4 linked regions of the Schizosaccharomyces pombe genome follow. Changing the gene in region 1 together with any one later gene gives a genetic interaction. Each region holds a gene or a part of one and is shown in the gene's direction. Other genes may lie near its edges.

What was found.
Region 2: mutations in arf6 (region 1) and bmt2 together harm fitness less than expected from each alone (positive genetic interaction), as found in Schizosaccharomyces pombe (one large-scale study listed by BioGRID).
Region 3: mutations in arf6 (region 1) and gst1 together harm fitness more than expected from each alone (negative genetic interaction), as found in Schizosaccharomyces pombe (one large-scale study listed by BioGRID).
Region 4: mutations in arf6 (region 1) and SPOM_SPAC10F6.14C together harm fitness more than expected from each alone (negative genetic interaction), as found in Schizosaccharomyces pombe (one large-scale study listed by BioGRID).

Annotation. Positions count from the first base shown.
Region 1 is NC_003423.3:4,374,142-4,382,054, forward strand, and holds arf6 (ADP-ribosylation factor-like protein Arf6), read left to right. Parts: upstream 1-1,587; 5' UTR 1,588-1,715; coding exon 1,716-1,821; exon of another isoform or gene 1,822-1,920; coding exon 1,921-1,951; exon of another isoform or gene 1,952-2,153; coding exon 2,154-2,226; exon of another isoform or gene 2,227-2,281; coding exon 2,282-2,480; exon of another isoform or gene 2,481-2,523; coding exon 2,524-2,669; 3' UTR 2,670-3,036; downstream 3,037-7,913. Other genes in the region: fmd1 (glutathione-dependent formaldehyde dehydrogenase), read right to left, coding at 1-593, 701-744, 902-934; trp1 (anthranilate synthase component II), read right to left, coding at 3,080-5,359; ribosome biogenesis protein Nop16, read left to right, coding at 6,345-6,490, 6,613-7,096; chr4 (SEL1/TPR repeat protein1, 3-beta-glucan synthase regulatory factor Chf3/Chr4), read right to left, coding at 7,499-7,913. UniProt on the Schizosaccharomyces pombe protein: GTP-binding protein that functions as a molecular switch for the activation of 'new end take off' (NETO), a process in which the directions of cell growth change from a monopolar manner to a bipolar manner in fission yeast.
Region 2 is NC_003424.3:362,264-369,837, forward strand, and holds bmt2 (rRNA (adenine) methyltransferase Bmt2), read left to right. Parts: upstream 1-3,181; 5' UTR 3,182-3,286; coding exon 3,287-4,099; 3' UTR 4,100-4,179; downstream 4,180-7,574. Other genes in the region: mug58 (glycerate kinase), read right to left, coding at 506-1,339; protein Vps55, read left to right, coding at 4,538-4,554, 4,610-4,628, 4,705-4,777, 4,842-4,926, 5,030-5,085, 5,132-5,268; SPOM_SPAC630.12 (lipid phosphatase), read left to right, coding at 6,309-7,574.
Region 3 is NC_003421.2:1,716,013-1,723,649, reverse strand, and holds gst1 (glutathione S-transferase Gst1), read left to right. Parts: upstream 1-3,579; 5' UTR 3,580-3,635; coding exon 3,636-4,325; 3' UTR 4,326-4,507; downstream 4,508-7,637. Other genes in the region: SPOM_SPCC191.10 (uncharacterized protein), read right to left, coding at 1,373-1,822; ribosome biogenesis protein Lto1, read right to left, coding at 6,495-6,899. UniProt on the Schizosaccharomyces pombe protein: Involved in the oxidative stress response and detoxification.
Region 4 is NC_003424.3:1,229,436-1,237,920, reverse strand, and holds SPOM_SPAC10F6.14C (ABC1 kinase family protein), read left to right. Parts: upstream 1-3,879; 5' UTR 3,880-3,997; coding exon 3,998-5,605; 3' UTR 5,606-5,659; downstream 5,660-8,485. Other genes in the region: SPOM_SPAC10F6.15 (uncharacterized protein), read right to left, coding at 956-2,254; caa1 (aspartate aminotransferase), read left to right, coding at 5,904-7,133; protein-S isoprenylcysteine O-methyltransferase Mam4, read left to right, coding at 7,851-8,485.

The DNA of each region.
Region 1 (7,913 bases):
TAGCAATGATTCTCGAAGCACCAGCTGCAACCGCACCCTGCATTGCAGCGAGACCTACGCATCCACATCCAACAACAGCTACCGTTGAACCAGACTCAACCTTAGCAGAGTGTGTCACAGCACCAAATCCAGTTGTGACACCGCAGCCCAACAAGCAAATACTGCGAAGAGGTGCGGAGTGTGAAATAGCCACAAGCGAGATATCAGCTACAACTGTGTATTGACTAAAGCTAGAACATCCCATGTAATGAAGCAACGTTTTATCGCGACAGGAAAAGCGACTAGTACCGTCAGGCATTAAACCTCGACCTTGTGTTTCACGAATTTTGGAGCACAAATTAGTTTTACCACTACGACAGAATTTACACTCTTTACATTCCGGAGTATATAGCAAAATAACATGGTCTCCAGGACGCACGTTGATAACCCCTTCGCCAATGCTTTCCACAATACCAGCACCCTCATGACCAAGAACAATAGGGAATGCGCCTTCTGGATCTACACCAGACAGCGTGTAAGCATCTGTGTGACAAACAGCACTCCAATCGACTTTCACACGAACCTCATGAGCTTTTGGAGGGGCAACCTGAATACTGTAGTATCACCTCCCATTCTGCCCGTTGATGAGCAGAAGAGAAGTCAAAAGTTAGTAATAAAATTCAAGTATAAATTCTTTTCCTTTTGTCATCATTATACTTACTCCTCTATAGATAAAGGTTCCTTTGCACCCCAAGCTACGGCTGCCTAAAACGAATGTTATTAGTACACAGAAAGAAAAAATAAAAGATAATTATCCATATACTCATGGATGAACAATAATATCAAAAGTAAACCTTTGGTGGACTTACAGCACCAATATCATTTACACTTTAGACAATGATTTACGTTTTCTTTTTCATACCTTGCAAGTGATCGTTTTACCTTCGAAAGACATGTTTCATTAAAGACTATCTCAGAATGTGTATTTGGTAGAAAGACTGTTACAGTTTTAACATTTAGGTCTACTTACTTATTACATATGCTTACTACTAGATAGGTCGCGACTCGGATGAAAATTGTCGATCATCGTCGATCTTGTATCTCAATAGTCACTTGCTAGATAGAGAGATATACATACAAAAATAAAGAATCAATATTAAAAAGTACAATTTAAAATACAGTGCTAGCATAGAAACATATGTTACGAAAACATTAGTTTGTTTATAATTCAATACTTGAAGCCTTCTTCTACTAAATGTTATTTTATATGATTGTTTTTTATTTTTATTTTTTTTTGAAAAATACTTTAAATAATGAGGCTTCAAATCATTAACATACACTGTTAAAGTTGAGTAATATAAATCTGCGTTATTAGGCAAGGGAATGAGAATGTTTCTATTCAATAAACTTGATGGAAATTCCAAAAGTTAATCGATAAAAATAATATTCTTAATATTTAATTTATTATTCGTACATGGGATTTACGATATAGTACAAGACCATGGGCTTCCATATAATTCAGTTACGCAGCTCGTTAATTTACATTATGTATCAGCTCGGCTTAATTAAATATTTCAGACAGAGAGAGTTGATATCAGCTGCACCTACGTTTAGTGCTAGCCGTCTTTTAAAGTACGAAGAAAGCCCTGTATCTGGGTTCAATATAAATTCTACTTCTTTGGTTTTTTTGGTCTATTCTTTCTTTTGGTTATCTTCTTCTGGGATTATTTGATACCATGGGCAATTCACTATTTAAGGGGTTTTCAAAGCCATTTAGTCGGTTGTTTTCTAACAAGGAAATGCGTATCTTAATGCTAGGTCTGGATGCAGCTGGAAAAACGAGTATGTTTTTTATTCGGATGGATTTTTACAGTCTTCATTCCGTATAATCGTGCTTAACTTGGTGTTTTAATAATGGTAACTCTTTTATTAACATTTTAGCTATCTTATACAAATTAAAACTCAATCAAAGGTAAAGAGCACTAAACAGCATTCTTCGATTGTGTCAAGGTATCGTATGCGCTGCTTCTGTATTAGCATAGTAGATATAGATTTCATTACGAAGACTGTTGGTTAATTAATCAGTGAAGTCTACTGTCGCGCATTATCTTGAGTTGCAATTATGCTTCCGTAAATGAAATTGATTTTTCTTGTGTTCATTAACTAACAGCCAGTGTTGTCACCATTCCCACTGTGGGTTTTAACGTCGAAACAGTCACTTACAAAAACATCAAGTTTAACGTTTGGGTATATTTATAATCAATCTTGGGTCGAGCATGTTCTAACGTTGATTTGTTTGTAGGATGTTGGAGGTCAAGATAAAATACGACCTTTATGGCGGCATTATTTTACTGGAACCAAAGGATTAATTTTTGTTGTTGACTCTGCCGACAGCAATCGTATATCAGAAGCTCGTCAAGAATTGCATCGCATTATTTCAGATCGTGAAATGCGGGACTGTCTTCTTTTGGTGTTGGCTAATAAACAGGATTTGCCTGGAGGTAAGGTTGCGAATCCGAATAACTTATGCTAACACTATGGTAGCTCTTTCACCTGCTCAAATTACCGATGTTTTGCAGCTAGACAAATTGAAGGATCGTTTATGGAACGTTCAGCCAACATGTGCTCTTACAGGAGACGGGCTGTTGGAGGGTCTGGCTTGGCTAAGTCAAAACGCAAAGTTAAAATAATTTGCTTCTTTGATTTGTTAATACATGGTGTTTATTTCGTTCGTTATCCCAAGAATTGCAAATAATTACATCGATCAGCTTCCGTTCTATCCCTTTATCGTTGCTTAATTAAATCTGTACAGTCTTTACTATTCATTTTCTTTCTTTAGCATATAACTTTACTATTGCCAATCGTTTCCCTATTCCTACTATCACTTTATAATGTGCTTCATTCGGCCAAATACATTTGGATAACAGCCATTTTTGTCAATAAAATATTTCTTAATTTAATACAGAAAAGTGATCAATAACCAGATAATATAATTATCGCACACTTCTTATCCAACAAAATCTAAAACCAGTTATTTTAAGCGAAGTCTCATGATATGTATCCAAAAACATCTAGACAAACTTGATTTAATGTAGACAAGTTAAAGTTCTTTTACGGCGTTTATAAATGCCTTGATCTTTTCAAGATCTTGTTTCCCGTCAGTCTCCACCCCACTCGATACATCGACTACAGCTGGGCGGCTAACAGATATAGCATCTTGTACATTTTTAGGTGTTAGACCACCAGCTAAGACATAAGATACTGGAATGAAAGATGCAGCTTCCCAGTCTACTTTCTTGCCTAAACCTCCTGACTCTCCACCGACATATGCATCAATCAAAGGTACAATATGATAGTTGGGCCTTGAAATTTCAGAAGAATTTAGCGGAAACACCTTAATAACAGGTCTATCGAGCATATGTATCCATTCGAAAGGTTCTTGTCCATGAAGCTGGACAATATCCAAGTTCACTTCTGCTATTATAGAACGAATGTATTCTAATGGTTGATTTTGGAACACACCGACTAACAAAGGGTGCGGAGAGGAAGCAAGATTTTCATACTGATGATCAAACCAACTTTGACCAGTCACTGCTTTCTTTGGGGAAATGTGTTTTCTATTGGTTGTATGAACAAAATGTGAAATTTCCTTGGCCACGGACAAGTCCACTTTTCGTTTGCTCTTTTCCACAAAAATTAACCCTATCAAATCGCCTCCTGATTCTACAATGGTTTTAGCAGCTAACAATGAACGAGTACCACATACCTTCACTAGGGGTGTTGATGTTTTTTTACCATTAGATATCTCGCTAGAAGAAAGATTAAGTAACTCTCGTGCAAAAGCGGCAGGATCCGAAGCTCTCATAAGAGATTCACCAACAAGAACTGCTGATACACCTTGACTACTATAATGGGCAACATCAGCAGGACTACTAATTCCACTGAGAGCTGCAAGAATAACATCATCTGGGACCATTTCGGCTAATTTTGATGTAGTGGAAAGGTCTACTTCAAAACTATGCAAATTCCTGTTATTAACGCCGATAACTTTAGCACCAAGTTCTATAGCAGTCTTCATTTCCTCAGCACAGTTAACCTCTACTAACGGTTCCATGCCCAAAGATTTAGAAAATTTATAGAGGGACTCTAATTGTTCACGGCTTAACATCGCAACGATTAGCAATACACTATCAGCACCATTCAAACGAGCCTCCATAATTTGATAAGGGTCAATAATGAAATCCTTTCTCAAAATTGCAGGCCGATTAGCTACATGCTCAACAGCTTTTCGCGCAACAAACAAATCATTCAATGAGCCTTTGAACCATTTTGGTTCTGTTAACACAGATATGACTGAGGCGCCAACCTGAGCATAAGTAAGAGCTTGGATAGCAGCATTTGCGTCTAACTTAATGTCACCTTTAGAAGGGGAAGCACGTTTGACTTCAGCCATTAAAGCTGGTTTAGATTGCTTTAATCTCTCATAAAAATTTATACATGGAGGTGCTATGTTAAGGTTCAAATATGTTTGCAAATCACCCACAGAAAGACCAGGCTTTCTTTTACTTTCAGCAATGTCAATAAGTCTCTGCGCGTGGATTTTCTCAAGGATAGATTCTTGTTTGCGAATTTTAGTTGAAGAAACAGAATTCGAATTTTCACGCATAGCCGCGTTAAATGCGTTATTTTTTGTAGGCATAACAATGCCATTTTCTTCCCAGGTTCCAGCAGTGAGATTCAAAAAATTCTGAATATACTCTTTGCCATACTCACTAAGGATACTTTCAGGATGGTATTGAACACCCTCAATAGCATACTTTTTATGGCGTGCACCCATTATTACACCATTCTCGGTCCAGCTTGTAACGTCCAAACAATCAGGAAGTGATGAAATTTTTCCAGCAAGAGAATGATATCTTGTTACAGAAATATTTTGAGGTATTCCTTGGTAAAATCCGAGACCGTCGTGATTTATTTTAGAAACTTTTCCATGTATGATTTCACCAGCGGAATCAACTTTACCACCCATTGTCTCAAAAATACACTGAAGTCCCATACACACACCAAGTATAGGAATCTTTCCAGCAAATCTCGAAATAGCCTCGTTACAAATACCACCATCACGCGCAGGATGTCCAGGCCCAGGTGAGAGAACTAGTTTTAAAGGATTAAGTTTTTCTAATTCATCGACAGTGATTTCATCATTGCGAAAAACCATAATAGGATATCGTTTTTCCAGATTAGAAAGATATTGAACAACGTTCCAGGTGAAACTGTCATAATTATCTATCATAACAATTGGTCTTTCAGCAACTTCTTTAACTGCATTTTCTGAGGCGTCTCCTTTGACGCTTTCACCAACGTCAACTTTTTCAGACATTTTCAGCTTGTTATAATTGAGACGTGCTAACGTTAATTTTCCAAAAACTCAAAACCAAAAATGCTGAATGAAAAAGTAGCCGATGATGGCAAATGACAATTTCGACTTTTGAATGATCGGGAAAGATAGTATAGAAGCGATGTTTCTTGCTAATGTATTTTGCGAACTGCAACGAAAAATATATTTGGTTTTAAGACATTGCAACTAAGAAATCATCGCATAATGAACGTTAGCAAATAACGATAACAATCGTTGTACTATTGTACTAGAATTAGCAGGTAAAGAAGAAGTTTGACGAGGAGAAAACGAAATTTTTTTTATACTGGGGTTAGGGAATAACGAAATCATAAAAATAATCTTTAATTAGGCATAAAAAAATAATTAAAAAATTGGTGTTTCAATTGTCGGTTCATTTAAAACTGTTAATATAATAAAGTTGTAAACCAAATGACTAAACAGTGATTTTAAAAGTATCCTATAGCTGTTGTTTACTCTGGTAATTCGACACGTAAAATACATGATTTCTCGACTTCAACAATTCTTGGGAATTTTTAGAAATTTACAGTTAGTGCTAGATATTGGAATGCCACTAAAATTAGTGTATTCGTTGAGGAAGATCAATTTATAAATTTTGTTTCAAGATTTTATTGAAATCTCTATGAGAATATTATATCGTTTCACAATTCATACAGCTTTATAATGTAGACAAAAAAAAGATGAGGGTACTTAAATTTTATACAATACCAAAAGGATTGATGATAAATGTGATAACTGTCAACGTCTATTAATTTGAGAAATATAAATTAAATGGACAACAGTCATTGTTAAACTAGGTCACAGAACTATCTTATTGTGTTTCGTTGAAATATTATGTAGACATACTGCACGTAGTCTACATTCACCTCCACTTAAACTCACGAACAACCAAATTTTTTTGATTGCTTACCAATTTCCATTTCCCCCCATTTATCTCTAAATAGATAAGATGGCAAACCCTAGACAAAGGAATAAGCAAAGATCTGGAAAGCCTCGTTTAACCAGGCGTAATGCTAACAAAAAGGCGAAGGCCAAAATTTACGGAAATTTTGTGATTCAACAAAATTGGGATAAACATGCAACCTTAAGGCAGAAGTAAGTTAATAAGTATTGCTTTATTTGTTTTATACAAATGAAAATTGAGGAAAAAGTTTTGCGCTCCTTCTTGGTCTTATGTTCTTTTCTTTCTTATAGAATTGCTATTAACAAATAAATAGTTATGCGAGGTTGGGTCTTTTAGCTACTCCTAATTATGTTACGGGAGGTGTTGAGAAGCTTTATCCTGATCCTAAACGTGAAAATGAGGATCGTGAGCTTACCTCAGAGGAATTGGATGAATTGAAAAAATCTTTACCACCTGGTCAAGCAATTGTTAGAAGAGATGATGACGGAAATATTATTGAGATTATTCACGGAGAGGCAAAAACACTTGATGATGTTTTAGACAAAGAAATTAGCATTGCACCGGCTAAAACGGAGGTTGTTCGTCAACTAGAAGAAGAAGCTGTAAAAAAAGCAGCTCGACAGTCTAACAAAATGCTTCCTTTAAGTGCATTTGAACATGCATATATTCAAAGACTTATAAATAAGTACGGAACTGAAGATTTTGAAAGTATGGCCAAAGACGTTAAATTAAATTCTAAATTATTTAACGGATCTAAGCTCAAAAATTTGTATATTCGCATGAAGGCTACAAAGTAAACATCAATGGTGATATACGGACGGTAAAATGGTGATTGTGTTCTAGGTATATTTAAATTAATAAATTTTTATTTCAATACTATTAATTCTATTAGAAAGCAAATATTGAGACGACTAATTTGTATGAAACAATAATTACACAGTATGTATTTCTTCGTGATCCAATTTTGTATTATACTATCGAAAAAGTAGTGAATGAAAACATGTATTTAAAAGAAATTGCTTAAATGGATATCAGCTAACTATACAATTATAAATGAGCGTTAGACAATTCGAGGACAAATGAGAGAAATAAAAACCGGATTATGCTATGTGAATGCAATTGAACACTAAAACGAAATTTCGGGGAGAAATCGATTCCAATGATAAAAATGATGTTCTAAGGGAGCAAAAATTGCCAACTTAAGATATAATACACTTGTTATGTTTTATAAGAAACTTTTTAGATGTCTTTTTGGGAACCGAAACCTTTGTAACTTTTGTTTGCGAAACAGGGGGCGCAGAAGTAACAGGGGTAGATGAGACAGCTGGTGCGTGCGGTGGAGAAGTTTCAGAGGCTGTAACAGGTATTTCTTTTATAACGTCTTGATTTGGGTATTGTGATGAAGTTATGTTTTCTGGTTCGGGCTCCTGAATCTGATTCTCTAGAAGTGCCAACCGCTCAATTGCTTCACTATGTCCTGCTTTAGCAGCCTCATTATACCAGTATGTTGCCTGTTCTGTATTACCTCTTGTATCGAATAAATAACCCATCAGGAATTGAGCATTAGCATTACCAGCCATAGAGGCTCTTTCAGCATGCATAAAGGCTAAATCC
Region 2 (7,574 bases), on another chromosome or scaffold:
CTTTCACCATTGTTTTGTTTTTATTCATTTCCTTTTACCTACTGCTATTTTATTACTCGCTGGTATCATTATTTCATGACTACTGGCAATAAGCATATCAACAACCGCCCACCGAATATCACATTATTAAAAATGCTTGATATTTCTAGTTAACAAACTTGTACTTAAAGCGTCACAACCGAAGCAAACCAATAAATAGCGAAAAAGGCTATTCGCCATGGGAGCATTTATTAGAAACGGTGAATTGTCGAACGTGATAGCAGCGCATTGTTAAGTTTTACAAAGATGGTTTACATCGTCTAAAAGCAGCTTGCTAGAAAAAGCATACAACAATATCATAAAAAGCTTTTGTCGGTCAAACCTTGATGGGTTACTTCAAAAGAAAGTTGGAATTAAAGAAAAAGTAGAGGTAAAAACTTTGTTCAAGGAAAGGGGGGAGCGTAAAAAGTATTCCAAAGTACAGGAACGCTATACAATCATGGGATTTAAATCTTAGACAAATACATCAATGCATAACAACAGGATATCGGTTCTCATCAAGTATGATTTCCAAACAGTGTGGATTCAGATGTACTTTATTAGATAAGGTACCAAGATAAAAGACATATTGGGGCATATAATGATTAACAAATTCAATGACTTCTTCATCACTCATACCCTTGTGGATCCGAGCTTTCAAAGCATGCTCTTGCTGCAGTCTCCATCTGTAAACATAGTTTATCTCTTGTGCCTCTAGTTCCACCAAAGAGTCAATTTTTTGAAAGATAGGCTGATAATCTGCAAGCTTTCTGTTTACCCACAGTAAACTTCCTTCAATATTTTGCCAACGTGTTGATCGTGCTCGGACAGACAGCATGCAAGAATCGAGCGGCTCAAACCCAACCATCCATCCTTCAAAAATTACATAGGTAGTTGTTTTAGGATTTGCCTTTTTCCATTGGGATTCATCTCCCCTATCTCCGTAGCCACCAAACTTGGATTTATCGTAAAAAGGGATAGATACCTCCTCATCGCTTCCCTTAACAAATGCATTTAAAACATTATTTAAAAATGTGACATCATGGGTTCCAGCTAAACCACGATGTTGAACAAGAGGATTATTGGGATTATTTTTGGCCAATTCAACTTGTTCTGCGTGCGTGAGGTAAAAGTCGTCAAGTGAGAACTTCACAACTGATTCGTTCTTCCTTGTTAATTCGGTATCTAAAGCACTTGCCAGTGTGCTTTTACCAGATCCTTGAGGGCCGGAAATTCCAAGAATAAAAGGACGACCTTCAGGTTTTGGCTGCTTTTCCAGGAATTTTAAAATTTTGTCGACAATGATTTCCAACGAACTCATATTCCACTTCTATATAAAATTTTTAAATTAAATACAAAACCTAGCTTCCCCTTAAAAACGACTTAATAACATAAGTATAGGAAAGACGTAGGACTAATACTCGAAATGTGAAAGAAAGCGAGGTGCTGTAGCTATATGAAAATTCAATGTTAAGTACCACAGTGACTAGATACTTTCGTAACGACTACCAGTAAAGGACTACAAACACAAAAAGCTTTTTAAAAGGCTAAAGTCGTTATGCAATGGTTGGATTTTACCAACAAAGTTTTGTTACGGGATGTTGTATCACTAACATTCCGTTACGTCTCATTTGTGCCAATATACTGAATGCTTGCGTAAACTCTGTAATACTTGGAAACGGCTTCACTGCGCCTCACTATTTGGAAAGTTGTAACGCTGTAAATGTTTTGTTTTTACCTATAAGTAAATAGAAGATACATAATAAAATTTGGTGATGCTCTGGATTTTCAGGGATAATAGAATTTCTGTAGTTATATTTTCTACAATGACGGCTAACTTTTAAATTGTTTAATCTTGATGCCATGCAGTATAGCTCAAATGCTGAAGAATTTAGGTAATATGCATTTTATACTTTGTCTTTAAATTGTCATACTTGTCTCTTGCGACTTTTATAGCTAAATAATAATATTCCAGTGCTAACGTATGTGTTTTTTCTATAGTAATCCAAAAAAAACACGCAATTTATTGTGTCAGTAAATAAAGTAACTTGTAAAAATAAGTTTAGCTGAAATGTACAACAATCAGTCCCCCATCCAATGCGATAGCAGCCGCAGTTACAAATATTATTTATATTTAATTATTACATTTTGTTTACAGGTACATAATGTTTGTTAACACTTTTTGTACGTTTAATTAAACTAAAAGTATTTATTTTTTTAACATATACTCTAAAAAATTAATTTACTCAAGTTTGAGTTATCAAGAAAATTTAATCTACAATAATTATTTTTGAAGCACTTATTTGTTTTAATAGTATATAGTCTGGTGAAACAATTAGAATTCGTCTGTAAGTAGTAAAAATACAAAAATGTTTCTATGGTTTTCATATCATAAATACTTACACTTCACCCGTTTAACTTAAAAACTTAAGGTAATCCGTAGTACACCAAATTCTTTTCTTTTCTTTTTTTATTTTTTTTTATTTTTTAAAATGTATTTTATTTAAGAAATAATAAATAAAGTCCCTTATCCAATTCCACTAGATATAAATCGTTAGTTTAGAATTTACCAAAATACTTTTCAATAGCTGTCGTATATACATATTTATACACATTTATTACTTTCTTTTAAAAATAACTTATATCAATTATATCGTAACGTAACTGATGAGTGGAATCATTTAAAACAATTTAAGAGAGAAGTTGATATTGGCTGTTTATTTATCCGAATTTTTTTATGTTATAGTTCTACCATATTTGGCGGTTGTTTTCTTTATTTTGATTATTTTTTAAAAACAATTGAAAAAGTTTAGTTAATAATCAAGTAAATCTAATAACTATATATACAGTTTTCAAAGCACAATATCAACTGAGGCTTCGTGGTGTAGTGGTAGCATACTTCGTTTGGGTCGAAGTGGTCAGGGGTTCGATCCCCCTCGAAGCCCAAAGCCTTTAAATTTTTGTTTCAAATATAAAAAAAGTTGATTTGTGCTTGTAAAGTACAAACCGTATAAAAAAAGGAAACCCGTTTAATATTCTGTGTAATGGTTAAAGGGTTGCATAAATTACCGCTCTTTAATTACATATTAAGAATTTATCATACATTGTCCAAGCTCTTCTTGTGCTGAATTTTTATAAGTAACGCGACACTACTTCTTTCATCGTAAAAACTTTTCAAGTAATTAGGAAACTACATTTATGAACCATTTACTGTAAATACAATTATATTTTCATCTGGGAGATTAACAAATATTTTATCACTATTTGAATGCGTCCCATTCCAGTGAAGAATCGCATTGGAAAAAACAACATTGATAATGCAAAGGGACTGAAGGGGAATAAGCTTATTCGTCATTATCATAACCTGTTAAAAGAGAAATCTCGACTTATTGCGTCAAGTGCTCCGATTGAAAAAATAAAAAATGTGGAAAGTGAACTCGAAAATATAGGTATTGATGCTTACCAACGAGCTAGTCGATCCGGTCAAGCGGAAGGAAAAGGAGGGGATTCAAGTAAAATATTGATAAAATGGATTCGGACAACTCCCTGTTTTTCGTATTGCGCACGTCTTAAGGAGCCGAAAGATTTGTTGGAAATTGGCAGTGTTTCTGTTGACAACAAATGTTCAACTTGTGGACTTTTCCGAGTTTCAAGGATTGATTTGCATTCTGTTCATCCCTTGATTAAACAACAGGACTTTCTTGAAAGAACTCCTGAAGAAGGACTTTTTACTGGGATAAGTTGTTCACTTGTGCTGAATTTTGCACCTCCAGAACTCCGAGCTAAAATGTTATTACATTGTACAGGATTGTTAATGCCTCCTAATAAAGAACAGCCTCCTTGGTTATTTTTGGTTTTGCCTTCGCCTTGCATAACAAATTCTCGGTACATGGATGAAAAAACATTACACTCAATTATGATACAGTTTGGATTTATCTGTCGTCAAAAGTCTATATCGAAAAAAATAGCCTACTATTTATATTCTTACGAGTGTTTTCCTATGAAAGAAATAGACTGGAAAAAGAAGATCGTTAATGATGGGGCAACTAGGAATAATTTCTTCATTCCCTGTATACTCTAATTAAGATATTTGTCAATACAAAATTTATTTTACTAGTATCTCAAAGTTAAATTAATGAAATGAATGCTTTTTGTCGGTTATCCTCTTGCTTTTTTTTAATTGTATTGTTAATGTCAATTACTAGCCTTTACTTACGTAGCTACAAAGTACGTTTTTCAGAGTTTGTTCGTATGCGATACTTTACTAATGAGCCGAAAGCTCGATCATTGGTGTAAAAAATAGTAACAAGTCATTTTCGTTATATGTCTTTTTAAACTTATTTGCCAAGTTTACAAATCTTGTGCACCGCTCTGTGTTCTATGCATACAGAACACATCTGTATAACGTAATGGAGCGTACCCTTTTTAGGTGAAGTAGCTGGTAATCATCGAAGTCTCTCTTCTCAAAAGCAGTAAACTTTAGCTTGCAGTATATATTCGTGAACGATAGTAATTAAATATGTCCGACCTCAGGAAGTAAGTAATTTTTGTTAATATGAAAAAGCAAAGGTTAACGTTTGTCACCAATTAGAATTATCGGTCTTTCTTCGGTATGCATCGCTCAATGACTCCTACTCGAGCTAGACATCAATTCCATTTTAAACGAGTCTAACTTATATTATTAAGGTCCTGGCAGTAGGATTTATGCTGGTGATCCTGTCTTGTGCTTTATTCAAGAATTGGTATCCACTGCTAATTGGTATGATTTTGTCAACCGTTGAGAACTATTTCATTTACATTGCTTACGAATTACTAATGAATAGTCATTCCATTCATTTTAGCTCCTCTTCCTAATCTCCTTACGAAAAAATACTCGACAAGCCATGACTTTTTACAAGAGGAAGACAGGTATGGAAATATAATAATGTTGGTTGTTCTGGGGAAATTATTTCAACCATAATTGTTATTTTTCATTATTATTTGTAAGGAGCTCTACTAACGTTTACTAAAGAAATCTTCTTGACTTTGGTCGATTTACATTCGGTGCAACCATCTGTACCGGGTTTGGTATGTATTTATAACTGAATGAGACCTTTATGCTAATTTATAATAGCTTTACCCATAGTATTTGTTAATGTCGGATTAATTGGTACTGCTGCTGCTACAATGAGTTGCGTTGGTGGATCTATTATATTTCTTGTTATTACTTTATATTCTCAAGCTTTTGTTCAACACGAAGAAGAATTTTAATATTTATTTACTTGATTATTAATTGCTCGTTTAATGCTTGTCTTTTCTCATACTTTGCTCTCCCCTTAGTATTTCTTAGTGTCTGAAGAGTTATAAGGATTCGTGTTAATATTAACAGTTTTCTTGAATTTTTCAGATGTTCAATTTCACGGAGCATTGCTTTCAAGTCTTGATTCTTGAAGTATGTTAACGAAATATCTTACTCATTGGCTTTTGACTATAGTTAACCTGTTTCTCTCGTTTTTGGGTGCTTTTTACTATAAGAGAAATACTGGAATTTTTCAGTTTCTTGGAATTTTTATATTGATTAAATATCTAGTCATTGTCAAAATAGATATTACGTTACATATTTAAACTAGTAATTAGTAAGGCCGAAGTATCACGAAAAGTCACTTTTATGATAAAATTAAACTATAGAATGTATTCGTCTATATGAATTCTGGACCTTAATAGTTTTCTATATGAGTAATTTAAAATAAGATTGTACCTTTCTCTGATTAGGCGACATTTAGAACTTATCCTCTCTAGCTACGTGCTTCTGAAGATTGTTCAATATCGACCTAAATACAAAGCAATTAATGAGTCAGTTTATAAATTAAATCAATTAGAAGGTGAATATTACTTGTTGAGTGAAAATAGTGGGTATTCAATCAAGAAATTGAGCACCGCAAAGCTTCATATTAAGATTCTCTACATGAGGCCAGTCGCTTCTTGAGCCAAAGGTCCTTCAGTTTTCCAAACTTCACAATTTTTGAAGTCTTTACTAACAAGGTTTATCTAGAAGAAAAATACACCTGTTTCAAAGTCATACTAAGAACAGGAATAATAAATTTAACTAATCATTAGGGTCTAGTGTCATTTCTCCAACATTTCGGTTTTATTGTAAACGTGGAGTTTCATTAGATTGCTTTGAAATTACTCGACCTTTATTCTGCATCGATAAATTAGAACGTAGTGTATATACTTGGCATACTATCTCGATTTACTATTCTTACTTTCTTAGAGCGTGCATTTTTAATAGAAGAAAAGAATAACTGAAGATGAAAGTAGGTCGTTTTTTAGTCATAATTGCTTTTTGTTTTTATGTTCTTTATCTCGAGAAAATTATTCATACAAGGCCACATAAAAAGTGCGATTGGCGGTCTTGGGAGCAATGGGAGAGTACTGGGAATCCAGTAAGGATTGCATTGGTTGCGGATCCTCAATTAGTTGACGATTTGACTTATGATTATCCTCGACCTTTAATTGGAATCGTTAAATGGATTTCCGACCAGTTTCTTCGTCGGCATTGGCGTTATCTTCATAAATCACTGAAGCCAGATATTACTTTCATAATGGGCGATTTGATGGACACAGGTAGAGAATTCGCAACTGAAGAATTTAAAAAAGATTATTTCAGAATGATGAACGTCCTTGACCCAAAATTCACCAATAAATTGGAAATCTACCCTGGCAATCATGATATTGGATTTGGTAATCACGCTATTGTTAAGGATATTCAAAGATTTGAATCTCTTTTTGGTCCAACATCTCGATCAATAGACGTTGGCAATCATACACTGGTTATTGTAGATGGAATTCGTTTATCAAACAACGTCAATCCCCAAGTTTATCAACCGGCTAGAGACTTCTTAAAAAGCTTTGAAACAAATAAGGACAACTCGAGACCTAGGATCCTTCTATCTCACGTTCCTTTGTTTCGCCCTGCCATCAATTCTTGCGGGGAGCTTCGTGAAAAAGATGATGTTATCAAATATGGTTTGGGATATCAGTATCAAAACTTGCTTTTGCCAGAACTTTCCGAGTCTATTTTAAAAGCTGTTGAACCAATTGCCGCATTTGCTGGAGACGATCACGATTATTGCGAAGTTGTGCATAATTACCAGGTGGATACTCGAGAAGCAGCCACCACGGAATATAATGTGAAGGCATTTTCTATGACCAGCGGCATACTATATCCGGGATATCAACTTCTCTCATTGAACTATCCTTATGACAACCCTAAAGCCGATCAAAAAAGTTCTTATCAGACAAAGTTATGCATTCTTCCTAACCAAATTCAAATTTATGTTTGGTATGGTGCTTCTATATCCATCTTTTTTGCTCTTATATTATTGAGGACTGCTATCTTTTTTTTTGGAACTGACCGTTATAGCCTCCCACTTTACAAAACTCATGCACGCCGATTTTCATTGTCAACAACAATTCATTTGTTTAAAAAAATTGTGCGCATAACCCTTTCTACATTCATCTCATATACATGGATACCGTTTCTTTTATTCATCTTCCTTAACATCTTCATTATC
Region 3 (7,637 bases), on another chromosome or scaffold:
TCAGTCAAATAGGTAATGAATTATAGCGGTTTATTTTTCTTTTCTTTTTCTTTTTCTTTTTTTCTTTTTTTTTCTTGAACGATTACTATCCGATGAAACGATGAAAGGATCTTTTAGAAAATGAACTATAGATGTTCCAACCTACAGATCACAAAGCAATAAAGACCTTAAAAACGGTAAATCTGATCGAAAGCAGTGAGTTTGAAAATTATGGATGACCAAAAAAAGCGCAGCTAACGGTACTATATATACATCCGAAATTTCCTTTCTCCATCAAATGCATAATATCTTGCTAAATATCGCACCTTGTCATGTTTCTCATTTGCGTCACTTATAGCTACACAAAAAGTCGATCATGACCTTCCGAAATTGCAGCGTATGTACTAAGGATTACGGAAGTAATGCGGAGATAAGATTCGGCAAGTTTTAGACAACGTTTGGTAACGTGTTCATTTTCGATCTAAGGTTGTGCTGACAATGTCTAAGATCGCAGTATGATGGCTAGAATGTCGATGAATTGAGCTCTCAAGATCTATCTTATATGTTCTTCTAATGTTCAATACATAAGATGTATTTTGAGACTTCAAAACTCAGTTTCATTTACTTGAAAACAATACAAAATGCAGTCTTTTCAAGCTCTGTGTCCGCAACTTAAATTCCGGTATATTGTCGCCTCCATTGACGATCTTTCTTGAGGAGAATGATGCCGACAGATATGAAAGTAATCGAGGTTTTGGGACGTCAGTCAAAACCAATAAAAGAGAAAGTAAAAGTAGAACAATGAAACTCAATCTGTTTAACAGGAGAAACTATTTAAATGGAATTGTACAGCAATAAGCTAGGCAAAGTAAAAAATGGATCGATATATCGTATTTAGGGGATGTGTTCTTATTTGCGTATTATCCAATTCGTTATAATGAAAAGGATTCTAAAGAGGAAGGAATGAAAAGGGTCCTTGCTAATGAGAAATGAAGAGTTTTACAGAATGGTGGTGCTTCTTAAAGAACAAATGATAGACAATTCTTGTGTTTTACGTCTCTTATGAGTTTTATTTTTATTATATTTTTTTATATATATTTTTTTTTCTATTTTTCTATTTTTTTGCTTCACTACTTATAGCTTTTCGTACTCTATTTTTTACTTATAATACTTACGATGGGTAAAAGTTGTATGAACCAACATGTGTATGAACCAAATGAGCCAACAATTTCTTTTTTCTTTCAATTTTTATTTGTTCATCTTAATCATTATATATACTATTCTTCTATCTCATACTATTCATCTGTCTATCCCTCCATTCAAACTTACTCCCACTACAAAATGTCATTTACAAAGAAAACCGGTTAGCGATGTCTCGTTCCAATTCGTTATATCATCTACCTAGAGGCAATTGAGGAGAATGCGTTTTTAGACAAATTTGGAAAAAGTTTTTCCTTATAGATAAATAGATTCTTGTCATCTCTGTAAAATCTTTTCCGCCATTGCACTCAGCCATACTGGTTTCTATTCTTACTTCCGTTTTCCATTTTTTCCGCTTCCCAACTAACTCATCATCCTTTCCCCCAAGGTCCGTTACATCATTTACCCCGCAACTGTGGGGTAAAAAAAAGAGCCGAATTTTCGTTTGGAATTGCGAAATTTCCTGTCTCCCACAAGAAGATCTCATAATGTTCATTTTTGGGGATAATTTAGGAATCAAATGGGCATTTATTGCTTTTCCTGCATTCTTCTTGAAAGATGGATATTTCTCTTCCTTTTGATCCGAACGGATCAAAAGTCGTGCTGTCCACATATCGTTGTATTTCCGTCTGCTAGAATGCATCATCAGCAATCTAGACGTATCTTCTTGTTCTCGACATCCTTTTCCAAAAATTTTTAATTCTGAAATCTATCAGCAACTCCCTTAAACTCAAAATATCGATTCCTTTATCTTGAGGAGCGATGGATGGGCTAGAAATTTTGATTCAATAGGTAGGTTTTTTTTTTTGCAATTGCATTAGTAACTGTTTGGAGGTAAATTGAAATAACAAGCATTACTTAAACCCTTTGCCTTTTTTTTTGAATCTTTTTTTTTAAAAGGAATCGTTTGTAGAGTACTTTGAAACTGCAGCCTTAATTCAACGTCTTCTTGACTACCTTTATTTTCCAAATTATGCGAACCTCGCTTGCATGCGACTATACAAAAAATAAGGAAACCAGTCTCGCATAAAATTAAATTTAATTTTAATCTTCAAAGCATCTCGATTTCGCGGACTAGGATCCTGGATAAATGCGTTGAAACTAAGCCGATGGGTTGTAAGAATATGGGAAAAGCTGCAATGTATCACATTGAATAGTCAATTGAAGGACATGGAGCTTTGAGCTTGTTGAATGAATAAAAGTTTTTGATGAATAAACGTTATTAGACATGATTGTATTTATCGGGTTTCGACTTTAAAAGTTCAATCAATTAATGAAAGACGTAAAAGCTGGACGTTTATTGAATAATCCAAAAAAGGTTATTTTTATATACTTTTAAAAAGAAAAAAAATAGTATTTAACGGATATAAACATGTATTGGTTCATGTACTTGCTTTACTCTGATCAAGTTGGTGTATGCTTTTTGGTTTCCATTGCTCTTTTTCTGATTATAATGCAAAATTACTCATCGTGTTTGCAGTTATGTTGAATAGCTTTAAAATTTACGTATCGTATTGTCAAGGTAGTAAATGTAAACAAAAAATTTTCATAGGGAATCATTACCAATTCGCTTACAGAAATTAAACATATTACACTCACTGTATGATGAAAAATAAAGTAGATTTCGAAATAAGATTATTAGAGTGAAGAGAATTTTAAATTGATATGTGAGAAACAAAACTCCGTCATAACTAATCTTTACAGTTGAAAATCCAATTGTGAATCCCTAGCATGTTTGAATTAATATGTGCAGTAGTCTAAAAGCAAGTTTGACACGTTGGTTTTTGAACAGGTGGTGAACAAAATAAATCTCGAGCGTATGGTTGAGACTATTTTATTATTTTTATATTAACTTTATCATAAGATGTCTATTCAACTGACTCGTAAATTCTGAAAACTACATGTCTTAAGAACCTGAAACAGTTTTAATTGCATTTGAATTTGGAATTGCATTAAGCCGACCCTTTAAGAAATTAAATATAACACTAAGCATACGTTTATTTCCCACAAGGATTATACATAGTTAAACAAAACGAGAAGTCAGTCCCCACGCACTATATGTTGGTAGAAATTTTACATGAAATTTTGATGCATTACAAGATTGATTAAATGTAGCGTGTAACCGGCTAACAGGATTCAAATGTATTAGTAAATGGAATCGGTAGTAGATTTATCTTTCTTTGATCACGTTTTGACATAAATCATAACTTCCGGCTTGTCGTCAGCTAATCGAGTAAAATTTAGTTGAATCCACGTATGAGTCTAATGTATGATCGATTAGTAAGTTGGATGAAATTGATCAACTCGATTTCGGGTGTTTTCCAAAATTTTTCATAAATATTGCATACGCAATGGAAGTAAGAATTGTATATAAAATGGTAAAGATGCTCTTTATATTTTAATCCATTGCCAAACTCCTTTCATTTAACAATAGAACACACTCAAAATAAAGTATCATGGCTCAATTCACTTTATGGTCGCATGCTCATGGTCCTAATCCATGGAAGGTGGTTCAAGCGCTGAAGGAGTTGGACCTTACCTATGAAACCAGATATGTGAATTTTTCAAAAAATGAGCAGAAATCCCCCGAACACTTAGCCTTAAACCCTAACGGTAGAGTACCTACCTTGATTGATCACCACAATAACGATTATACCATTTGGGAATCTGATGCCATTTTAATCTATTTAGCTGACAAATATGATACGGAAAGGAAGATATCTTTGCCTCGTGACCATCCTGAATACTACAAAGTTATACAATATTTATTTTTTCAAGCTTCTGGCCAAGGCATCATTTGGGGACAGGCTGGATGGTTTAGCGTCTATCATCAGGAGCTAGTCATATCTGCCATTACCCGTTATAGGAATGAAATCAAACGTGTTCTAGGAGTCCTCGAAGATATCCTTAAAGACCGTGATTATCTCGTGGCCAACCGGTTCACAATTGCTGACTTATCATTCATTTCATGGAATAACTTCCTTGAAATTATTTTTGCAGAAGGAAAGTTTTCAATCGAGGAAGAAGTGCCTCAGCTCGACTTTGAAAAAGAGTTTCCTAGAACTTATTCCTGGCATCAAAGACTTCTTGCCAGACCTGCTAGCAAGGCTACCTTCGAAGAAAGATCAAAGGCTTTGGATAATTAAGTGAATTTGTGGCGTCTATCTTGATAATAACGTTCCAATATTTCAATTGATTGATTGATTCTTTATATTTCAAAATTCATGCATTGTTTACTTTCCTTTATGCATATAGATATAGACTCAACTTTTTCGTTTCATACATCAATTGTTCAAGTGCTCTTTCAATAATATCATCTTTAAACTATGATTTTCTACTATACATTCCGAAAATATATACAAAGCAGACCATGTAACATCCATCGTATTGCTCTTGCTAAAATTGGTATTTATTGTTTGGAAAAGCCAATCATCAAAAGTAAAAAATATAAAATGAAAGAAGGGATAGCTGTAATCATGTCGAAATGACTTGAGGCGCTAATTTTATTTTATTTTTTTATTGTTACTATCTTTTTATTTTTCTTATACTACAAGACCTTTTTTATTTTTTTTTTTTAAATAATGTCGTCAATTTATTGAGAAAAGTTCAATGATTTTATTAAATTTTTAAGTAAATTATAAATATTATGTCTAAAACAAAAGCTCGAATAAATAATAATCAAATATTGTTTTCTTTATATGTTGGGCAGGCTTGTCTTATATTTTTTATTTTAATTATTCTGAATATTGTAAATAAGATGAATTCAAATACTCATGAACACAAATATAATGTAGGGTATGAAGAAGTGATTCATTATCGAATTTAGAAAGGTCCTAATATAAAAAACAAAGAGAAAATCAATATAAGCAGTCGCTGTATATTAAATTATCCAATTTGCTTAATTCAAGAGTGTTCTTATAAAGCTCAAGAATATGATAATTAGTAACAAAGCAAACTAGGCCGCCTGTATTTTGTACATGATAGTTTCAATTTTAAAGTATTAGAGCAAAATATTAAACAAGGAAACAAGCAAAAAAAAAAAACTATTAAAAAACAGATGATACCTATTTATGAAAACAATAGCGTATAATGAACATGAACGTATTGCACTAAACAAATTAGCGAGTTACAATGCCTAAAAAACACAGTCACATAACAATACTGCTTTCCATTTTGGTGTCGCAAACTATTTAACAACCAGTTTTTATTAAATCGTAAATAAACGTTGTTTTTTATTTCGTTTTTTGTTAGGACTTCCTTTAATTAAAACTACCTTAAAAAAAACAACTTCTTAGTATGGATATCTCTTAAACTTGAATTGTAGTAACGGTTGCTGTTAACTGAAATGAATAAAACGATGAAACAACATTTGATAGCCATTGTCCTTGGCCTTATCGAAGCTTATCTAGCTGCAATTTACCAGTTAGAAAAGTCAAAAATAGGCCTACAAAATTGGCAAATGCCGGTAACGATTATTTTTGCTTTGTTTCGCGAAATCTTTAGTGAACGAAAATCAAGGCTTATAATACATTTTTAGAAAGTTGCACATTTCACATACAAAATTTTTTATTTATTGCTATCCTGGTATCTATATAGTCGATGAATATTTATTATTTTTATTTTTTAAATCATTAATTGTATGGTAAACTGGGGAATTGTAATGATGTTTAACTTGTTACGATGTCTTTATTTTGTGTCTATAAACTTTTGTTCTAATGTACAACAAACTTATTAAACTGGACAAGCAAGTAATTATGCCGGGGAAATGTCTATACATAGGATTATCATATACACAGCAGCAGCTAATGTGCTAATTCATGAACGCATATGGCAATCATAAAGCGGATGTTTAATATTTGATCCTTTTCTTTTATTTTCTACGAACATTAATGAAATCATCAAATTGCCATAAGAACAAAGCAATATTATGGGGATGCCATCCAGTCAAACACACCTACTAGAGTTAAAAGAGACAGATGCTAGTACTCATTAACTGGAAAAACTTGGCTGACAAGAAAAAAGATCTTGCGGTTTTAATTTCCATCTTAATGTACAAAATGTTTTATTTAGCTTCCAAAACGTTTCTAACCATAACGGATGAAGAAATTGATTCCATTCAGAATGAATTAGCCAAAAAAAAAAACGACTATTCACTCACTACATGCAGCTTTCTTTCGAAGGGAGATATTGTCAAGAAAAAGAACAAATGCCAGGATATCAGATATAATCTGCTAAAATATAACATAATCAATCATGTAAAGTGAATGTTTTCAGGAATATTAAATACCTTCCATAGTATATTTGCTCTGAAGACATTACTCAAAGCCATCATTAGCATCAATTTTTTCAGCGGGAAGAATCTTAGTTCCTAAAAGACTCGATACCACTTTGGCTTTGGCTGTAATTTTGTTCCAGTAAGAGTCAAACCCAGCATCGGTCTCCTCCAGTTCATTGTTGGTGGGCAACGACTCTAATAACGATTTCAACTGTTCTAAATGCCTATGTGCCTTTTTAATTTTAGGATGTTGTGAATTTTCTTCTTTCAACCAAAAACACACGCGTCCATAAATTTCACCCGCCAGTAAATATTTGTTATAAGCATGCTCGAGTCCAAACAAAAATGCTTCCTCATACCCTTGCTCAATTCCCTTTAAAATTCCTTCATCATAACCACGTTTGTACTCATTTTCTTCCAATTTGGTCACTTCCTCCCAGTCCATGCGGCAGTGTCGTTTTGTAATAATTTTTGCCAAAAACTGAGAATTTGCAACTTACAGAGGATTAGCGGCTAACCTTATTAGATACAGCACAACACAGTGATATATAGTTCCTGCAGTATAATGTCAGCAATACTACACTACGCTATAATACACTACGTTGAGTATCACTATATGTCACATGTTCTAATTATATATCGTACCATGTATGATACGATATGGAGATTGATCTTAATGATAATCTATTAAGATCAATATTATCTGAATACTATAAATAGAGCTACTGCTGAACCTCGTTCCTCAGTTCAGTTATGAGCTATATTAGTGATAGGTAACATTATAACCCAGTTAATACAATACCTATACTCAGTTGCTACTTATACAACCTGTGTATTGTAATATAATAGATCACAAGGAAAACTCACCGCAGTTCTACGTATCCTTAAATCAGATACCAAACTGCGTAGCTTACATATAAAAACGAATAACAAAGAAGAATTATATCGCCCTAAATGAATTTATGGTATTCGTTTGATATCCGATATTTCTTTAATTTCAAAATCGCAGCATTGACATCTCTAGTGTAAATCTCATTTACTTTGCCTATAGCAGTCGATAATTCATATAGAACATACTTTTTTTCTTTTTTTAAATCTAAGTCTAATATTTTGTTTCAAGTACAGGAGCTAGTAAAGTATATCACATAAGTTTCAATTGGCAAGTGTTTACATTGCGAATAAC
Region 4 (8,485 bases), on another chromosome or scaffold:
AGTCAATGAATGATATACATTTGGCATGTTAGCGGATGTGTCGCCTTCATGTTTGCATACTCAAATGTACAATAACGTATGTGCATACGGGAACAATAATTTGGTTATACGTGCATGATTGTTCTTATAGTTAGTTAGTTAGTTGAAGGAGAAACGTTTGGCGATGGACTTGGCTACAAAAAGTTATTGTACCGACCTGTCCAGCATTCATCATCAGTCCTTTGAGTGTACGATATTTGCGCATGGGCTTACTGATAGAGAATACTACCTACAAGTAGGTATTATATCTTTCATTAAAGACATAGTAAATATCTGTCATTTAAAACAGATATTTTGTATATCCTCTAGTACGTATTGTTACTTTACTGTAATTTGCAGTCGAAAAAATTAAGGAAATTGAACAACACAGTTCTAATGTATAAAAGTAAATATGGTGGAAAGTTTAAAGAATATTAAGGTTCGCTTAGTTTTCTGCTCAGCAGGCAACCGCAAAGCGAAAATAGGCATTGTTTTTATTCTTATACTTACAAAAGGAACGGAAACTGTAAAGAATACCGAGTAAGGTCAAGAATTTTTTGGTTTCTGTTTTTGTTTTCTTCGCTTTTACGTGATTTTAATTTAAACTTTTGTATATCATTTATAATTCAGTCATGTCATTCCCCAACCAAATACATAAGGTCAGGATGTGAGTGTAGTTCGGTAATAATGTGGGTAAAAAATCGTTTCGTTCCCGTTGTCACAAAACGATAATTCGGTCCACCGATTCACCATAGCTGGTCAACATAAATCATCTGCTTCGTTAGATTTTTTAGTAAAAGCAAACTCAATTCCTTTCGCATATAACTTTAGGCTCACCCATCAAGCTTGATGTTGGGTTCTTTTTTGTGAAAGATGTTTTCGGATTGGCGAATTCAGCCAACTCGAGATTTTCTTCGGAATTCTATCAATCCTCATCTCATTCAGCAGGTATAATCAGTTGAATCGCTATATCTTCTCCATTTTCATCTGAAGGTGTATCCAGACAATTCAATGTTAGTCTATTGGTTAAGCAGTTATCTTTTGACGAGCAAAAATTGCTTGATTTTGCTGAACCTGCTTCAGAAAAATTTGGTAAATTTGGCAATGAATGAAGACCCGTTGGATTATTGAACAATTTTTTCATGTTACACTCCATCTCGGCGTTGAATTGGCGACATTTGCAGAGATCTAGCAACAATTGGTTATAAAAGTCACATTCCTTTTTGGATGAAGGCGGATTCTTAAAGATTGCACCATCACTATTGTACAAAAGCAACGTCGACTCTGGTAGTTTACCGAGAAATATATTTTTTTTCATATTCAAATAGAGATGGATTGGGAAGGCATAACCGTTTGAGCCAATACAGTGAATCATTGCAATCCAACCGATGTCTGCTTCAGAATTAGCACACTGAAGAATTTTGTCAAATCCATCAATTTCATAAGGTAGATTATTTTCCAATAGCGGCTTACGAAGCTGTACGTATGACTGAAAATTCGACGAACTTACTACAATGCAGTTACATGTCGAGCCAAGAGCAAAGATATCCCTCGGATTTACCAAATACATGCGAATATTTCCAATTTTCTTCTGTACAGCTAACTTTTGGACAGTACTGTATGCTTCTCCTGAATTGTTTACATAATGCTCAACTGCTGCCCACAAGGCTTCCTGAAGACTTTTCGGGTAATATTGATAGAGCATGACATGATGAATCAAAACAGTTAATGGAAATTCGCCCGAACGTAGATAGTCGCACAAATATTTAAATAGAGCTTGATGATTTCGAAGTAGATGCGAAACTGCTGTCTGTATACAAGAATGATTATCGATCAAGTGATAAACCTGATCAGGAAGGCAAAACCCGCTCTCATCCATTTCATAACCAATTTTCAAATAGACACCACTAAACGTATGGAAAACATAAGATAACCAACCATCATAAAACAAATTTGGAATGTCAAAGCGATCTGGCAGCTCGAATTCTTTTAACTTGAGAATTTTACATGTACACGGTATCCACGAAATTGAGTCTAAAAGTAGAAAATGCGTATTGTGAGGATATTCAATATCTGCATATGTAATCGCAGCCATTGGATTTTCACATTGGCATTTCATACAAGCCAATTGGCGCTTATTTCGACGCATGCATAAAATTAGAAATTTCGATATTTTCAGAGCGAATTTGTGAAGTATTGTTGAATGAAACTTGACAACATTTGCATTATAGTTCATGGAAAATAATAACTATGTTTGCATAACACTAACAAGTATCAGAAATTATAGTTATAGGGAAACCTCAACAGAAATTAAGCACTTTACAATATGCCAAAAGATCCAGCTTGAACCAGCTGGCAAAAAAAGTAAAAATGCTGCGTTGTAGGATTAAATCAAATTAGTAATGAGAGAGGTAAATCATAAAATCCCATCGTCAAGAGATTACGAGCAATCTAATTTTGAAGGAAAAAAGCCCGCAAACAATAAATGATGCCAAAAATTCGCAACCAAGTAATGTAAACAATAACACAGCTGAGCTACTGCGACTTATGTTATTATGCTACCTATGCTATTTCCATCACTAAACCAAACTGTTACTACCGCAATTAGTAAAACATTGATGGCGGCTAAATTTGCAGTTCTTTTGCTTGACTTATCTCTGAAAATTTAATGCATGGATAACATATCTGAACCCCAAACATTCGTTTTTAACGAGCCTATGCCAACGTACCTTAACACTTTCAATAAGAAAAAGCAAAACTTGATATCACGCTACATAGCACCTATAATTCATTACAAGAAAACATAATTCATTAAATAACGTAAAACAGCTCTAGAAACAAAAAACTTATATGAATACCAAAATCAGACCAAATAACTCAACAAGACGCTATCGCGTTTCAGTGCTTGACTCTTTGTATTTGTCGATCATCATATTTTGGGAAAAGCTACATTTAATAATATGCTAACTAAAAGTAGGTCTGGCTTGATTCGAACAAGCACTCCGACAGAGTAAACCAAATTTTCAAACCTTTTTCTTTAAGGAAAAAAACCTTTGAGCACGAGACTAAGCCCCATTGTGATACATCAACAAATGGATGCGACCGTATAACTATCAACTACGACGAAAAACCACAATTCAGAAATGGCGTAATCAACCATACCGTTCGTACACTAGACGCTCAAGAAACACAACTCATAGACTGTATTCCTTATCTACTCCATTCTGGACAAGGAGTTATATCTCTTGAGGTTTAAAGTACAAAGGCTAAAGGAAAAACTAGCGCCATTAATGAAACCGCTGATTCTTCAAGTCAGCACGTTACCGCCTGTCCCAATCTCCATGGAGATCAAGACGCAAGAGTCCGGGGACTTTCCCTAAAGCTGTTTAGAGGAATAAAAATTCCTGTATGACTGCTTCAACCACGATCGTTCGAGCTCAAAGGTATCATTTGGAAAAATTAAAGTGGAAACAGTGGTATATATATTACTGACTATTTACGTGACTGTTTATAACCCTAACCTGTTTTTGGATTGAATAGATCTGTTGCTCTGCGATTCTTCGACGAGCAATTGACCGACATAGCATTTAATACTTTCAGTATATCAATGAGCAATGTTCTTAAGTGTTATCGGAGCTGTAGTAGCATATCACCTTGTAATAAAAAAGTTATTGACAGAATCCCTCATTCATAACGACTACACTGAATATCATTATTTATGAATTGTGTAATATAATGTCTAAAATAATAGTATACTGGCGACGTTATCTTCAGTTAATTTATCAAAAGTATGATACGCTAAATGGGAGAATGCATTTCAATGGCTGCCTTAGGTCAGAAAGTTGAGAATGTTGAAAGGACACAGCGCCAACTTGATCTATTTATGATAGTCCCTTTACTACCTTCCTTGAATCCAAAGTGTTGAACTTAGTTTACTTCTGCTCAAATTCGTCTTCTTCAAAGCCTTCATCCCGTAGAGATGTTGACTTCGTGGAGAACAATTTCTCTACTGCAGAAAACTACCAGTCGCTTCATTAAGCGATCAAAGACATATGCTGATGTACGTTATAACAGTCAAGCATTGCAAAATCATGGAGTTCCTGGTAACAAACGTAAATGGATGAAGAGGTTCGTATTTGTTGGTGCTGCTGGAATAGGTGTCTACGCTTGGGATCGAGTGTATAATGCCCATGCACTTACCCGTAGTATTAGAACAGTATACACCGCTTCTATAATTGCGGCTGACTATAAGTTGAATTTCAGCGAAAAAAAGGCAGACAAAATTGATGCTTTGCACCAAAGAGTAGCACAGAGACTGTTTAAAACGATTTACAAAAATGGCGGTTTATACATCAAGATGGGTCAAATCATTGCTATGCAATCAAATAATTTGCCTGAAGCGTATGGGAAAGCCTTTCAGGGAATGTTTGACAATGCACCTCAAGTTGAATGGGAAGAACTTCAAGACATATTCAAAGAGCAATATGGAAGACCAGTAGAGGAAGTATTTGCCAGCATTGAGAAACGTGCTGCTGCAAGTGCCAGTATTGCGCAGGTACATCGTGCTGTTTTACCTAGCGGTGAAAAGGTCGCGGTAAAAATTCAAAAACCAGATGTTGCTAAGCAAATGTCGTGGGATCTTCTCGTGTACAAATACATGATGTATGTTTATGATAAATGGATATTTCATATCCCTCTCTACTTTACGGTTGATTATGTCTCGGAAAGATTACGTTCTGAGGTTGATTTTACAACTGAAGCTAACAATTCGGAACATGCTCGTGAAGGGGTAGAAGAAACTGATTATTTAAGAGATAAGATATATATACCAAAGGTTTATAAAGAGATTTCTGGAAAGCGAGTAATGGTTACTGAATGGGCTGATGGCATTCCCCTCTATGATCAAACTGCTCTTTCTGAAGCTGGGATGAGCAAAAAGGAAATTTTAACGAACCTTTTCAGATTCCTTGCCTTCCAAATGTTTCATTCGAAACAAGTTCATTGTGATCCACATCCTGGAAATATCCTTGTTCGAAAAAATCAAGCAGGCTTGTGTCAAACGGTAATTTTGGATCATGGGTTATATGTATTTGAATCAGAAAAGTTTAGAAAAGAATTTGCCTTGCTTTTCACTGCAGCCTATTCATTAGACAAAAAATCTATTCTTCAGGTAATGGATGCTTGGGGGATTGGACAACCTGAGCTTTTTGCTAACCGCATGTTAAATATTCCAATGGATGAAGAGCAACCTCACACTGGTGAAAAAATTATTTCAAAGAAAGAGGCCTTCCAACAGCAGCTTGCTGAACGCAAAAAGTTCATTGGCTTCTTACAGGACTGCACTCGTTTACCGAAAGAGCTGTTAATGCTAGGTCGCTGCTTAATGCTTATTCAAAAAAATAACCAAAATTTTGGGTATCCAGTGAATAGTATAGCTGTTATGGCCAAGGTTGCTGATAAATACACTACCGACAAACCTAGTCCAACTTGGTATCAACGGCTGTTGTCGCCTATTTTTTGGGTCTTTCAACATTTATTTTACCCTGGAAATTTTCGGTTGCCTGAACTTACTAATGATAAAAAATGATATTTATAGTAAAGATTACTTTTCTTTATGGAAAGCCAATCTTTGACCATAATAATATAACTTCACATATTGCCTACTTTTCTCGATAAGACACTTCAGAGCTCCTCCTTGTAAAAGTTAAGCTCCTCCCTATACGAGTCAAACTTTGTATCGTTATTCACTATTACAGTACATCAAGCTCGGTATCTTATATGTCAATGAAGTATACTGATAATATAGTGATACTAAACCGAGTGATAAATATATATATATAGTAGATCAGTAAGGTTGAAATCTACCTACCGCATATTTAACCACAATGTCAGACTACGGGTTTGCAAATATTGAGGAAGCTAAGGCAGATGCAATTTTTAAATTAAATGCTCAATACCATCAGGATGAAGATCCCAAGAAGGTTAACATGAGTGTTGGCGCCTATCGTGACGATACTGGTAAGCCTTGGATTTTGCCTGCAGTTAAAAAAGCATCTAAAATAGTGGAAGAACAGGCAAGCTTCAACCATGAATATTTACCAATTGCTGGATTGCCTCGTTTCACTAAGGCTGCGGCTGAAGTTCTTTTCAGACCCAATCCTCATTTATTGTCCGAGGACCGTGTTGCATCTATGCAGTCAGTCTCTGGTACTGGTGCCAATTTTCTTGCTGCTAGTTTCATTGAGACTTTCTATGTAAAGCACACTGGAGCCCATGTATACATCTCCAACCCTACTTGGCCTGTCCATCGCACTTTGTGGGAAAAATTGGGAGTCACTGTAGATACATATCCTTATTGGGATGCCAAGAATAGATCTTTTGATTACGAAGGCATGCTAAGTACCATTAAATCTGCTCCCGAAGGAAGTATATTTTTACTTCATGCTTGTGCTCACAATCCTACTGGTATTGACCCCACTAGGGAACAATGGCTTTCTATATTCGAGAGTCTGCTTTCTCGCAAGCATCTGGTAGTTTTTGACATTGCTTATCAAGGTTTTGCCAGTGGTGATCTGAATCGTGACTCTTGGGCTCTAAACGAGTTTGTCAAATATAACAAGGACTTTTTCGTTTGTCAGTCATTTGCTAAAAATATGGGTCTTTATGGTGAACGTACTGGTTGCATGCATTACGTTGCAAAGGACGCTTCCACTAAAAACAAGGTCTTATCTCAATTGTGTATTGTTCAACGTAACACCATTTCTAACCCTCCCGCTTACGGTGCACGTATTGCTGCCGAAATTCTTAACAGTCCTCAATTGTTTGCTGAATGGGAACAAGATTTAAAGACTATGTCTTCTAGAATCATTGAGATGAGGAAACGTCTTCGCGATTCTCTTGTTGCACTCAAAACCCCCGGTTCTTGGGATCATATTACACAACAAATTGGAATGTTTTCTTTTACCGGTTTAACGCCTGCACAAGTCCAATTTTGCCAGGAGCGGTACCATCTTTATTTCAGTGCAAATGGTCGTATTTCTATGGCTGGTTTGAACAATTCTAATGTAGAGCATGTTGCACAGGCATTTAACCATGCTGTTCGCGAGTTGCCTTAAACTGATTATTAATACCAAAGTCACATAGATAAGTATTGGATTCATGAATACAGAATTTTGGATTGTTGTAAATTTGACGAATTTAGGAACAAATTCTTTAGCAATTTAGAGAACTAGTATATGCATTTATTCTTTGAATTTTTGAATAATATGAAGTTATCTGTTCAACTCATACACCGGGACTTCTCCTTTGTGAGTTAGACATCAGTATTTGGCTCATTATTTGCAAAACAAGTTGATATCAGTTTGTAATCGGATATGTTTAGACAAAACTGAGAAAGAGTTCTTTTTTAATAATTCATAACTTGCAAATTGATTAATGACAGAGTATTTGAATTCTTTGTTATATCGAGGTTTACTACATTAATATAATACAACTTTTAGCAACTATTAGAGCCAATACAAAGAAAAGAAGTCAAAACTTAAGTAATACAATATGAGTATGATTTTCTTTGTTTTACTTCCCTATTGTGTCAACTATAATTTTAAGCAGGAAATTTTGAAAATATCCTAATAACTCGAAAACCAGGCTAAAGCAAGGAATATCCCTCTTTGCATAAATTTTATTTCTTCTCGTGTCTTTCCTCCAATAATTAATAATTATAACATCTCTAAATGTGTATGAGTTAGTTTGTTAGGACATTTTGACTCAATAATTCTTCTCGATAAATTTAATAAAGAAAGTTGAATTCACATACCTGAATTTAATATACAATCATGGGGAATTTACATACGTCAATAGCTGTAGCATCTATTTGCTTAACCAGCGCCTTTCTTGGTTGTGTTTTTGGTTTGGGATTTTTCGTATGGATTATATACGGATATAGTATTGGAGGTTTTTTTGCATTTCTGAGTCTTTTTCATCTATTAGAGTTTTACATTACTGCTCGTTTTCAAGGTAGTCAGTTATCATGGGATTCTTTCATATTGAATAATGGCAAAGCCTACTGGTTAGCGATGTTAGTCGGCCTTTTAGAATGCTTATTAAGTGGCGGAAAAAGTTTTGCTAAGGTAATAAATTGCTTAAGATTTCCGAGCTTCTTAATCAACTTTATATTTTCGGTATATCAGACATCTGCTCTGGGATTTCTTTGTTTGGGACAATATCTACGATCCTCTGCAATGGTACAAGCCGGTCAATCTTTTTCTCACATTGTAGCTAGTAAAAGAAATAAAGATCATTTGCTTGTCACTGATGGGATTTATGCTTACGTTAGACACCCATCATACGTTGGGTTTTTTATCTGGGCTTTGGGCACTCAAATGTTGTTAGGAAATTTTGTCTCAACATTACTATTTTCTCTAGTTCTTTGGAAATTTTTCTCACAGCGAATTACTACCGAAGAAGCTTA